Linked DNA regions of Arabidopsis thaliana. The protein of the gene in region 2 interacts with the protein of the main gene of each other region in a pairwise test. Each region holds a gene or a part of one and is shown on either strand. Other genes may lie near its edges.

Region 1 (2,956 bases), on a different chromosome or scaffold from region 2:
TTGAGCGAGAGAAGAGAATACGAACAAGCCGTTTTTATAATACTAAACACATTTTGGTTTGTACTCGTCACGACAATACATATTGTATTACTACTATGTTTAGTTAGATTAGTTTTGGTCGGAATGATTGATTTGGCTTCTTCCTCTAACGTTTTGACTTTTGAAGAAGTCTTTACGTCACTATAGACGTAGAACAAGTACTACATTACTCATGCCCTCTCTATTAACTTGTTGATCTACGCAACAAGACTTTTCCAACAGTTTTGACCTAATCCTTATTGGTCAGTCACATCCCTCTGATGTTCACGTCCTCTCAATGGAATGTGACGGACCAATAAGGTTTATGTATTTGGTGCTAGATTATTCGCACCATAACAAATGTTTACATCATATGAGTAACTAATTAAAGCCTTCAAAGTATGGTATATAACTATATATCCGAACGTTTCATTAACTTGTAACTTACATATATACATATTTGTTGTACACAGCATGATAGGTGGTCCCTCTCCAAAGCCAAATAGATGTGTTTAGTGTGTAATACATGAACAAGTAACCAAAGAGATAAACTATGTTTTTGTCATTTTCTAGTCTAATTCATCATCATCATCATGACATTGAATAATTCAATATGCCTCAATTCCTTTGTAGATTATTTCCTTCCATGGAGTAGTATCATCATTACGGTTGGTAAAATATCAACACTATAAAGATAATTTATTTACAAAGGGAGAACTATGTAACGCAAAATGCATAGTAAAAGGCTAATTAAGAGACTCGTATTAAGGAACTACTTTAGCACGACAGATAGGACATGTGGAGCTATGAGAAAGCCAGATGTCTACACAGTCAGCATGAAACACATGTACACAAGGTGGTACCAAACGCAGCGTTTCATCGTCTTTGAATTCATTCAAACACACAACACATTCTAGCTCGCCTATTCCTGGCTCAATTCCTCTAGCTTCCGTGTAAACGAATGAAGGAAACGACTTGATGGCTTCAGCGTCAAGTCCTCGCGGTGGCCTCCTCGGACTCATTCGAGCTTCCTCAATGTCCCCGGCTGCTGCGGCACGGTTTCTGCATCGCCGAATGTAGTAATTAATGATATAAAACGCTATGAACCCGATGCTCGCAAACGCAAACACAATTGTTCCTTCGTTTCTTTTGAAGTATGACATGTTTCGTACTTTAACATCTTCTTGAGTTTTGTAATGGGAAGAGATAGAGAAAGAAGAAGAAGAAAGAGAGACGTGGGGTTCACGTCTTCTTCGTAGTTTCTAGGTGATTTCTACGCGCCACCGTGTTTCTTCGTGTTTCACATAATAAACTAGTGCAATGACTCTAGCACTTTCCCATTTGCTAATATTTTTTAGTTTCGTAATTATAGACTAAACTTAATTTGACGGAATCTAGATGAGATTGGTTAGTTTTGAGATATAGATTATTAGAACCGATCAAAAAAGGTCGAAATATGTAAACATGATATTCATATTATGTGTAGGTGAATACTGAAAACAATATTATCGTTTTTAATTATTTTTCTGATGTATTAATAATTATTTGACAGTGATCTTTTGTCCTTCTGTTTTCAACTTTTGTCTCGACAATGTTCAAGCCTTCAAGGTAATTTATTATCTCATTAGCTCTATTTTATATGAATGATATCTAAAAAATTATTTTGAAAAGAATTCATGTACAAACAATACAACATTGTGTATAAAATGAAAGGAAACAAAATTACGTAGACATAAAATTCGAAACTTTAATACAATCTTAAATGTTAGATAGATAATTATATCATAAAGAAACTTTATATATCATATATATATGCTATAAAAAAAGGTTTAGTTGACCGCCAAAGATACAAATATTTTTTTTTAGTTATTAAAAATATTTTATATAATTCGATGTTTATATACAAAATTTGAAGATCTCGTATACAAATTTTGAATGTACAATCTTTTTAATACAATTTAGATATCCTAGTTTGTATCGTTTTAAATACATAACTAGTTTCTATTCTTAAAGTTACCTTAATAGGAAACTCCCAAAGAAAATAGAAAAATAGGTTAATGTTAAAATTTCTCTAGTTTACAAGAATTATTATTCTCAGTATATTTGAAGGAATTAATAAAGAAGAATTCATAAGTTTTTATTTACCTTTAATATTTCATAGTGCAAATATAAATACGGATAATTTTGCACAAAAAAAATTATATTGAACCACAATATATCACATATGTAAACAACATTTTACGTGAATTGACTTTGTTGAGCTCTAATTAATATCGGTTAACAAAAAAAAAAAGATTGACACAATTAGCACACAAAATTTCTTCCAAAAATAGCACCTCATTTGAAAATATCTACAAATAGCACTCAAAACATTTTCTTCCAAAAATAGCACCTCATTTGAAAATATCTACAAATAGCACTCAAAACATTTTCTTCCTAAAATAGCACCTAATTAAAAAAATTATCAGTCAAAGTTTTCCGTGAAAAAAAAATCTTTCAAATTTTTCCGTGAATTTTTTTTTGTCAAATTTTCCCGCCAAAAAAAATTCCGTAAAAACTTTCCCGCCAAAAACAATTTTTGTCAAAACATTCCGTCAAATTTTTTCCACATAAGAAAATTTAGGAAGGATTCTACGAAAACTGGAAAAAATTTCACGAAATTCAAGAAAGATTTTACAAAATTCAAGAAGGATTTCACAAAAAAAAATCTTTCGTGAAACCCTTCCTTAGTTTTGTAGAAGTCTTCCTAAATTTCCTTGAAAGTTTCCACAAAATTCAGAAAAGATTTTACAAAATTCATGAAAAATTATCATGAAATTAAGGAAGGGTTACAAAAAAAAAAAAGTTTAATTCTGAATTTCTTGAAACCCTTCATGAATTTCTTAAATCCTTCATGAATTTTATAAAATCTTTCGTGAATTTCTTTTTTTTTTTTCGG
Region 2 (5,646 bases):
GGTTAAAACTTTGGACTGATATGTGTCTAATGTTTCTTGATCTTTATCTACATTCTTGCAGGTAAAGACGGGTTTTGATGCGTTCTCTGTGAGCCTCACCTACAGTCTATATGTTTCCTTCGTTGCGTATGAAAGAAACAGCTTATGTTAGAGGTATCTTATGGGTTTTTTTTTAATCTCGCTGTGCAAAAGTGTTCTTCACTCTCTCTGTTTTTGAGATGCCTTTTGAATATAAAGTTTTCAGTCTTTTATACAGAGAAGATTGACATCTAGAGGAAATCTACTAAGGGCTTGGTTTGTGTATTTTGTGATTCATGTGGATAAATTTGGTACTTGTGCCATTACTCTTTAAAAGCAATCACTCTTTGTCTTTTATCTTTTTGAAAACTTTTTCTCAAAAATCGAAACCAAATTGGGAATTGTTACAGCTTTTATTTTATTTGTAACTAAAAATCATAGAGCCAGACCATAATTGGTTTGACTAGTCTTTGATTCTTAATATTTTCCTAGAACAGGTAAACAAATGCAATAGAAAGAACAACCAAAAACGTTTTACCAACAAGTAAATGGAAACAATATAAAAACCATAACTTAAACTGACAATTACCAATCAATAAGATGGCCAGTATCCATCCAAGTCCATGCACTGGCTCATCTCCACATTTCCAAACCCGTTTTCGCCATTGTACGAAGCACTAACCGCGGCAACATCCTCAAGAGACACAACAGGAGGCGGCTGGACCAGTGCACCGCCAAGGTTGAGGTTGAGCCCTGAGACAGGCATGTGGGTGTAGTTCATTAGCTGCTGATGAGAAGAGTCCATGGTGGTGCTTGTAGAGGCACGGAAGACTCTTGAGAGCTCAGCTAGGTGAACGGCGTTTGCCATGAGGGATTGGTTAATATTGAGGCTCGGGTGTGGTTGTAGATGCGGTGGGAGTTGAAGGAGGTCTGATGAGTAATTAGGATTATTGTTGTTGGTTGATAGTATTGAGGCTCTTGTGTGGTTGTTGTGGTGATGACTTGTGCTGCTGCTACTGGTGCTTATGTATTTCTTGGTTGCTTCTGTTTTCTTGAACACTCTACACACTACCCACTCGTCTTGCTGCATTTACATGTTACATCATGAAAAATGAAATGAGAATTGTTGAGTTTATGTATATTCTTCTTGTGAAACACTAATCCCACAAAAAAAAAAAAACATTCAAGACTCGTATTTAAATCATGACCATGACATAATGTATATTTGGTAGAAGAATAACAAAGGAAAATAGTGTACCTTGGAGGTTCTATATGAGGACTTGGAGTGAAGTCGATACTCATGCATGACCCAACAAGTCTTCTCCCCACGAGGAGCTCGTCCTCTGTAAAAGACCAAAGTCTTCTTCATCCCGACCAACTCCGAGGTTGTGCTATTGAATATCTCTTTGTCTTTTCCTGTGGTTTTCCAATATCCTGTATTCGTCGCCCTATTCGTCCTCACTCCCGTCGGGTACTTCCGGTCCCGGAGGCTAAAAAAGTACCATTCTTTTCCTCCCATTTTCGCCTTCTCTATCAACATTATAAATCAGAAACTTTGTGAATAACTTGGCGATTTAGCTGACTTTTTTTTTATCAAATATTTCCAAAATTTTAGCACGTAACTAACAATTATGTTTCTTCTTTTTTGCTTCTGTGAATGATGATAATAAATTGTTTTAGTGATGATTAATAGAGTAACTCCTTTATAAAGATAGTATTGTTGGTATATTAGATGAATAGTAGAAAAATAAAATAGCGAAAACGTTTTGAGTTGAATAATTATGAATGTTAAAAAACTATGTTTATCTAGATTAATGATTTGTTATGTTTTTTTTTTAATTATAATTTTAACATATGCATCATATATAGCAGAATCAATTTCTAAAACGTGAAGATTTGAAGAATGGTAAGAAAATAACGATATTGCATTTCTTTAAAGTGAAATTGCATTTTGTGTGGAGGGGAACGAAATGGACGGAGACACGAGGAGAAACCGACCCCAACACCTATACGGCTACACTCATGAACTAGATAGTTAAGCAAGTCCAGAATCAACTATGAGCAATTCGAAATACGGGTGACAAAAGATACGAATCAGGCCTTCAAGCTTGGTTTGCCTCTAGGATTTAAATGTAAATCACTTGTCTATTAATTGCTTTCAAAAAATCTTCAGCATTTTTGCATTTCGATGTAAAAGGTTTTTTTTTTTTCTTAATTTAAGATTTTATTCAGAAAAATAAAAATAAAAAGTAAAGTGAAAATGTAAATGTAAATAAGTGGCCTGTTGCGGATTATTGAATTTTTTGTTATCTTAAAAATGGTTTAGTTTGGTTTAAATATAAGAAACAAAGATATTGTTAGTTTATCGGATTATGGATAGAACTAATTAAAGACAAAATAAGTAGATAAGAAATTAACGTACGTACGGTAGTGAATGCATGACTTCCGTTCATGCAACTAATGTTTGTTAGGAAACTTCATTGTGTGACTTTCTATTTTAAAGATATATGCTTACTATTTTTTTAAATCACCGAGTTTTTTTTTTCTCACAGAAACTTAAACTATTACATAGACTTTTTTTTTCTTGGATTGATATATATATATATATATATATATATTCCAAAGATTAACATTTAGTATACATCTAGCCTCCGTTCGATAAGCTCATGTCTATAAGCTTATATTTAGTACAAGAAAAGAGTTTTGTAGATTGTGGATGTGATATCTAACCGGTGTACATTTTTTTTACACTAACTGACTTACGATTAGTACGTCGCCAAGAATGTACTCATGATATTATGGCATTTTCATTAGGCAAAAAATATAGATAGTGGGTGTTATGAACTTTTAAATGCTTCCCAAAATAGAAAGATCATTTAACATGAACACTATGTTTTCCGTTTAAATACACACACATTTATGTGTTATGTGTGTACAAGTAGTATATCCATATACACATCCATGCGCACACACACAAACACATATATATGGTTCATTTAAGTCATGTTACTCATGTGTGTATTAGTTGTATATGTGTAAAGATATCCAAAGCAATAAGCAATATGCATATATAAAGACACATATTCCTTTGGATATCTTTAAATCCAAATAATATAGGTCTTACCAAATTTTAAAGAAATCAAAGATATATATCAATATATATATATATTATATATACATGTATCGACATAGGAAAAAAAATATGTTTATTCATACATGTGATCTTTTAATTTGTGTGTGTCTACGAATAAGAGACTTAAGATAAATTAACGTACCAGGAAGCTCCCATGGCTCGGACTTGTTAAGATCAACGTCAGCGATTGCTTTCCCGGTGAAGTTTTGATCGGCAATCTTATTAACCAAGTAATATGAGATTAGCTCCTCATCCGTCGGATGAAATCTGAAACCCGGTGGCAAAGCTTCTTCTTCTTTCTTATGCTGCTGATGATCTCCTTGTTCCATTTTATATGATCTTTAGTTTACTCCAAATCCAAGAACCTTTTTATACCTGCTTAAAACACATAGTAACAAGTCTAAGTTTCACATAGATCCTAGCGTTCTACAACTGTTTATCCATAAGACAAAGGTATTAAAGGAGGAATTCGAAAGAAGAGAGAATAGTAAAAGATCGATATATATGTATGATATGTATAGGGTGAGAAATTGGGCTTACTTGTATAGATGAGGAAAAACCAGACAACTAAAACTTTTATGAGATTAGGGTTTTGATGGTATTTATATATCATGAGACAAGGATGACTTGCGACTATTCTTAGGAGGAAAAAGATGAAGGAAGACGACAAAGAGTAGGGTTTTTTTCTTCTTACTTTATCGTGAATGGGATTAAAAAACAATTACGCTAACACGGTTTTGATTAATTTATAAATACATACACATATTTATCAATTCTAAGTTTTGTTAGCATATTTAGAAAACCCAATTACCATCTAAGTTTGAAAGACATAGAATTTTCAATAAGACGCTGTAAGAATATAATTTACATTTCAGTGTTTATGTGATTGTTTATAAATAATTAAATAACATTACTATTGTATGGGGTAGAAATTATTATGTAGAAAAGGGAGGAAAATGTGGAAGAGAGTGTGTGCATGAAGCTCTCACCTAATAAGGGTCTTCAAGTACAAGGTACATGCAGCTAAACCTCACACGTCCAAATTTTATCCTTTGTTTATTTTGTGTAGTTGGTCAAGAAATTCTCCTTTTAGGACCCTTATTAATTCATCTTAGCTTATACATATATACAGATATACTTATACACACACCCACATGTGTATATTCCCTATATATATGAATGAACTATGTTGGTGTTAAGAACGGAAAAAAAAAAACCTTATGTTGGTGTTGGTGTCGGATCACGCACGAGCCGGTCCGTTTTGTTGCTAATTACGACTCCCAAAAAAAATCATATGTTTGGTTTAGGGGTCAATGGTCGATGGTCAAAGAATCAAATGGTTTATATGATTTAATTCAAATATAAAATGGTCATGAATAACACATCAAATAAAGAAAGAAGGAAGACTACCCATATATATGGACTATGGATGGATCCAAGTTTTCTCACTGTCTTTTCCACGTGAACAATTTTGTTCCAAATATTAGCTATTCTTCTATATAATTAAACACAATAAAATATTTACTGTTTTCCCAAAAATAAATTACCAAAAAAGGACACATAATAATTAATGACAATTTTATTTTTTGACTTTTTTTTATTTTGTCCATTTATGTTTTTATTTTATTCGAGTTGGTATATATTCACAAAAAAATTGATTATTCACAACTTGATCACGTATCTGTTGAGAATCAAATTAAAGACCTCCAAAGAAAAGAGATTTAATGGGAAAAAAAAACTCCCGATGTGACTGTAAACTCTTCTCCTCAACAAAACTTGTGACATTTTTGTTACCTCGACAAGAAAAAAGAAGAAGAAGAAGAGAAGTTATGCTCGCTGAGTGCAAGCGTTGAGTTTTCTTTTCAAGTAGATATATCAGTTTGTTGAAAGTAAGTGTTGAGTTTACGTTTAATTGGAAAGTGAATTTTAGCTTGCTAAAATTAAATGTTGCGTTATCTCTTCGCATATAAATAGATTGCAGTTCTGTGGATGTAATTTTGAGTTCTATCTTCACACAAAAATAATTTAGCTCGTTGAGGCTGTTTTGAGTTCAATCTTCTTAGAAAAGTACTAAGTATTGAGTCATCTCTTCCGCTCAAGACCGCAAAATGACCAATGTTAGTTCCATATATAATATATCTAAGATCAGATATGGATGAGTTTGCGTGTGTGTAATTTGAGTCTCCTTCAATTATCTTAAGGATTTCATGTGATCATTCAACAACCCGCTGATTAATTCGCTCCAACACAAATACATATTTGGAAATCAACCTAGCATTTTAGGTACCCTCACTTCAAGATCATTTTGTATAAACGTAATATATAATCATTCTTTACGGTCCAAATATTGCGGACACATTGTTGGTTTTCTTCCAAACTTTTTCCGACGTCTTGTCCTAATATATTGATTTTGCCCGACAAAAAAAAGGTGTATAGAGTAATTAATCAATGGAAACCTAACATTTAACTTTGAAGTTTTGAAATTCCGGTTTGAC
Region 3 (4,515 bases), on a different chromosome or scaffold from region 2:
AAAAATCAAGCTGGCAAATTGTAAGCAATTAGCTGTGAAGAGTCAAGACTTGGTTGGGTTATTTGCAAAATACTTCTATGTATTGTTTTTGTTTGTGGCTAATATAAATAAAGGAATGGGACAGAGATTAGGCCTGTTTATTTTGGGCCAAGCATAAACAGAGTGGGCTTTTATCTTCGTTAGGGAAGTAAAATTTACTATCAGACTCACAGACAGAGTCAGAGTAGTGGCTGAGAGATATAGGAAATGGGGACCAAAAGACCACTGAAGAAGAAATTCGAGAGTTGACGTCATAGTGGCACGTTTGAAGTTCGAACAAAGAGAAACAAGACTGACACAGAAAGATTGAAATACTTGTCAGTGCGCCTTCGTATTTTTGGCTTTTACTTCACTGACAAATAATTATGCTCCTATTTTATTATTCAGTGAATGGTACAGAAAACATTGGTATATAATTTTCATGAAGTAAACAAAACTATATTAGGCAAGAAAAAGTGGAGACAAAATGATGAAAAGGGAGAAGAAATGGTGTGTTAGTGAAAGATCTTAGTGCAATTCAAATTTCAGTCTCTTTTATGGGACCATAATACTCTCATTTCAAAATCAAACTTCATCACCTCCTTTCCTCAATTTCAGGGGTTAATTCTAGTGTTTTTTTCATTCACATGAATTTGGTTTAGCTTCTTTCGTTTATACCAAAGAAATCTAGTCAAATGTTACATACAATATATATTACAAATGAACATAAACGACAAACCATCATCACTCCAAGCACTAGATAAAAAAGAGTAAGAGAATAGGCTAGAGACTAATTAAACATCCAAATCTAACCCCAAACAATTCAATTCTAAAAGCTAACTCAAAATACTAGATTAACTTATCGGACCAAGTAGTCAACGCCAAGAGGAAACGGTGAGGAGAGGCACATTGTTCCAAGCCAAGGAGATGAAACCTGGCTCCGATTCAACAAGTGAATACAATGTACTATAATTGTAGTTCCATAGTAGCAGCTTCGCTTGGCTAACCGCGTAATTACTCGGTTTAACCGGCTCAAATCCAGCTTTCTCCATCAACACTCTCCATTGTTCTTTCTCCTCCATTAACCCAAACCGGGTTCCCGGTTTATTATTATCATCATCTGATCGGACCAAATCCATAATCCTCCTACCGAACAACACTCTCTCCACTCTCAGCCTTTCTTTCGAATCTCGATCCAAATTCGGTTCAAGCGATTCAAAAACCGCGGAATAAAACCGGAGAGAGTTCTTAACCCGGTTAGCAAATTCAACCCGGTTTAAACTGACTTCGTATTCTCCAAGCGTCACAATCCTCGGGTTTAACGATCTAGCTAACCGGAGCGCCGTACCAACAGTCGTCGCTGTTTCATCTAGAAGCTTATAAAGCTCAAGCATAAAATTCACAACCAAAACCTCATCCGGGTCAACCCGAAAACTTGACCCGTTTAGTAATTGAATCGGAGTCAGAACCGGATAAAACTCGAAATTGAGATCCAAAATCGCCGCGAAATCACGGAGACGGTTTCCCGTAGCGATCAGAGACGGTCCCGGTGAGTCTCCTAGAGACGGAGCGGGTATACCCGAAATCCGGATCCGGGTGGGTTTACCAGAAGAACGGGTCGCTAAAGCTTGTAACAGAGCAGACCATTGAATACCTTGAAAAATCCCGAAATCGACTATGTGAATGTTGTTTGATTGATTCGTAGCTTCGAGAATTGCTTGATTCGCTGTTAAATGAGCGAACTTTGAATATGGACATGCGTCGTTTAAGGTTTTGTATGAGAGAATGAAATCTTCTAGGGATGACGACGACGATGACGACGGAGACTCTGTTTCTTTATGAGACAGAGCTTCTGCGAAGTAATACCCGACTCGTTGTATCGGGTCGCCTGATTCGGACACGGATTCTTTGATCCGAATTAGTGTGTCCGGTTTAGTTTCCGGTTTACGTGCATAATCGTGGATAGCTTTAAAAATCGGCTGGTTTAGATCAAAATCCGGCTGCGGCGGGGGAGGAGGAGGATGTTGTGGTGATGGCGGAGATGGAGACCATATAGCGGTGGAAGCTGGTGGCGGAGGGAGTTGTTGACTCGCTGAGTCATCTTTGTTGACTCGGTTGAGATATGAAGGAGCACTGAGTCGACTCGGGAATGAGACGAATGGATCATGGCCGTAGATTGGGAAGTCTGGATTGGTTTGTGACGCATCTCCACCGTTGATCAAACTCTCCATCCACTCGTCGGAGTCAAACTCCTCGGAAGCGACGGCTGCGTTTTGATGATGCTCCAGGTGTGGAAAGTGAAAACCTGGGTCGTTGGTTACTTGAAACGGGTCGGAGAAACCCGAACCGGGAAGAGTAAACCCGAAGGATGGATTGGGCCAGGGGTTGGGTTCTTGTTCTTGTTCTTCTTGTTGTTGATGTTGTGATTGTTGTTGCTGCTTCTGTTTGATGAGTTGTTGTGCTATAGCCATTAAGTTTCCGCTGTCGGTGCACATATACGCCATTCTCCGACTCACTTTCGCCGGCGATGAAGGCGTTTTTTTGTCTGTTATTTGGTGGTGATTGAGTAAGGCCCAGAGAGAGAGAGGGATATGAATGAAACCGGAGAGATTTTAGTAGGAAGAAAAAAGTAAGAAAGTGAGTATTTTCATTTTGATTTATCATTTTCTTTTTTTTTGTCATCCGATTTATCATTTTCGAGTACTGTATTTTTAATCAATTACCACTTTAGTTTAAAAGTACAAAATTACGTTATTAACTGCAAGAAATGAAGAAACTATAAAACCAACAACAACAACAAAAAATGAAGAAACTAACTAACATAGTTTACTAAAAAACTCAGTTTTGTATTTAATTATTTTCAAGAATTTAATAATAGAAATGTAATTTATCAAAATATCAATTGAATAATTTCTATATCTCATGAATTTGTAGTTTCGTATAATCTTACAAATTTATTCAGAAACCTTTTGACCAAAAAATAAAAAATACATAGGTTTTTTTTTGTTAAATAATTATTACCACTCTGTTAATATGGGTAAAAAAAAGAGTTGACGTTATGAAAAAAAAGAGAGAGTAAAACGATATCTCACTTATGGGACCCACAGACACGATGACGTCATGTATCGGCAGTTACGTATCGAAGAGTGTGACCTCATCTCCACCGTCTAGAATCAGATCAATGGCTTTGGCTGAAATGGTGAATGTGACACGTCGACAACTGTCTTCTGCTACTTGTCACCTGCATGTCGCCTGCAACTTTTCTGTCTTTTTTCATTTTAACTAACAGTATTATAAAGGTAAAAAGATTGATGTAAGAAAAGTAAAAAGAATTAGGTTATTATCTTCTGCTTTCAAGCCGCAAAGGTCAAGGTTTTTCAAAGCTGTTTCTTATCAACTAAAAGGGTCGTTAAATTGGACTTTGGTTAACAAATTTCAGTGACTTCATTGGTTTAGTTTCAGTTACTTTTGTAAAAAAACCTTTCGACAAGTTAAGCTAACATCTTGAATATGACTTGAGCAAGCAAAAATTAAACAATAGACATGTTTTATTTGTATACGCATGTCTTTTTTATCTCAACGTTAGTGTTGTGGAGGACGGCTTGTGGGTCCGTAAGTAGGCCCATATACAATGGAGCAAAAGCGATTTGTGGCGGGCTCTACTAGTATCTGTTGTTGGTGGACGAACTTTGACGAAGAAAATGTAGTAGCCATTAGCCAAAAGCTAAAAATTACACAAAAATACCAAAAAAAAAACACAAGCAAAGAAGAAACAAGAAAAGAGTCCAAAGAGGATTATAGAATTTAAAAGTCTTTCAATAACAAACCAAGTTTTATGAATTATCATTCATACACGACGCATAGTTCGAGAATTTGCTTATTTGAGGTTTGAGTGTGGAAGCTCTTTGTGACTTTGCAATTTCTAAAAACCTAAAGCGAATGAAATAGAAAAGAGCAATAGCGAACAAAAAGCACATGGGAACGACACTTGACTCTTTGAGACATCACTCTTTTCATTTCATCGTTGTATCCGCGTCAAAAGGCCTACTTCTCCACTACTTATAACTTAAATATCTAAATTACATTACTAAACATGGTATATGGTCCCTGGCCCAAGTCTACTTTTGATTTTCACTTTTGACATTTTTTACTACAAAGTGCCATGGACTGTTCTAAATTGGTAATGATTTCAACAAGGAGAATGAAGAAGATGATATTTTTGAAAAGGACTTGTCTTTGAAAATGGCAATCCCACTTTAGTGTTTAACCATTGCACCTATCTGCAAGTGGACTTGGAGAAAATAGATAGAGAGAGAGAGAGAATGAGTGGTGTATGAAAAGGACATGAGTAAGAATGAAAGGGTTTGATTTGTCTTTTCTTTCTATCCAAGTCATCGGTGGGGTTTCTTATGTATGAACAAAGAGTGGCATTGAGTCATCCCCAAGAAAGTCTCTCTATATATTTACCATTTTTGTCACATTCTTTGCTTTTTTTTT

Evidence for each region.
Region 1: the proteins of NAC038 (region 2) and AT4G09100 interact in a two-hybrid assay, tested with the Arabidopsis thaliana proteins (one large-scale study listed by BioGRID).
Region 3: the proteins of NAC038 (region 2) and AT3G50650 interact in a two-hybrid assay, tested with the Arabidopsis thaliana proteins (one large-scale study listed by BioGRID).

The regions. Positions count from the first base shown.
Region 1 is NC_003075.7:5,809,481-5,812,436, reverse strand, and holds AT4G09100 (RING/U-box superfamily protein), read right to left. Parts: upstream 1,323-2,956; 5' UTR 1,182-1,322; coding exon 783-1,181; 3' UTR 591-782; downstream 1-590.
Region 2 is NC_003071.7:10,382,907-10,388,552, forward strand, and holds NAC038 (NAC domain containing protein 38), read right to left. Parts: upstream 3,720-5,646; 5' UTR 3,692-3,719; intron 3,575-3,691; exon of another isoform or gene 3,527-3,574; 5' UTR 3,481-3,526; coding exon 3,294-3,480; intron 1,549-3,293; coding exon 1,277-1,548; intron 1,103-1,276; coding exon 611-1,102; 3' UTR 591-610; downstream 1-590.
Region 3 is NC_003074.8:18,805,579-18,810,093, forward strand, and holds AT3G50650 (GRAS family transcription factor), read right to left. Parts: upstream 2,666-4,515; 5' UTR 2,523-2,665; coding exon 894-2,522; 3' UTR 561-893; downstream 1-560. UniProt on the Arabidopsis thaliana protein: Probable transcription factor involved in plant development. Involved in environmental abiotic stress resistance. May increase the expression of stress-responsive genes. Binds DNA in vitro.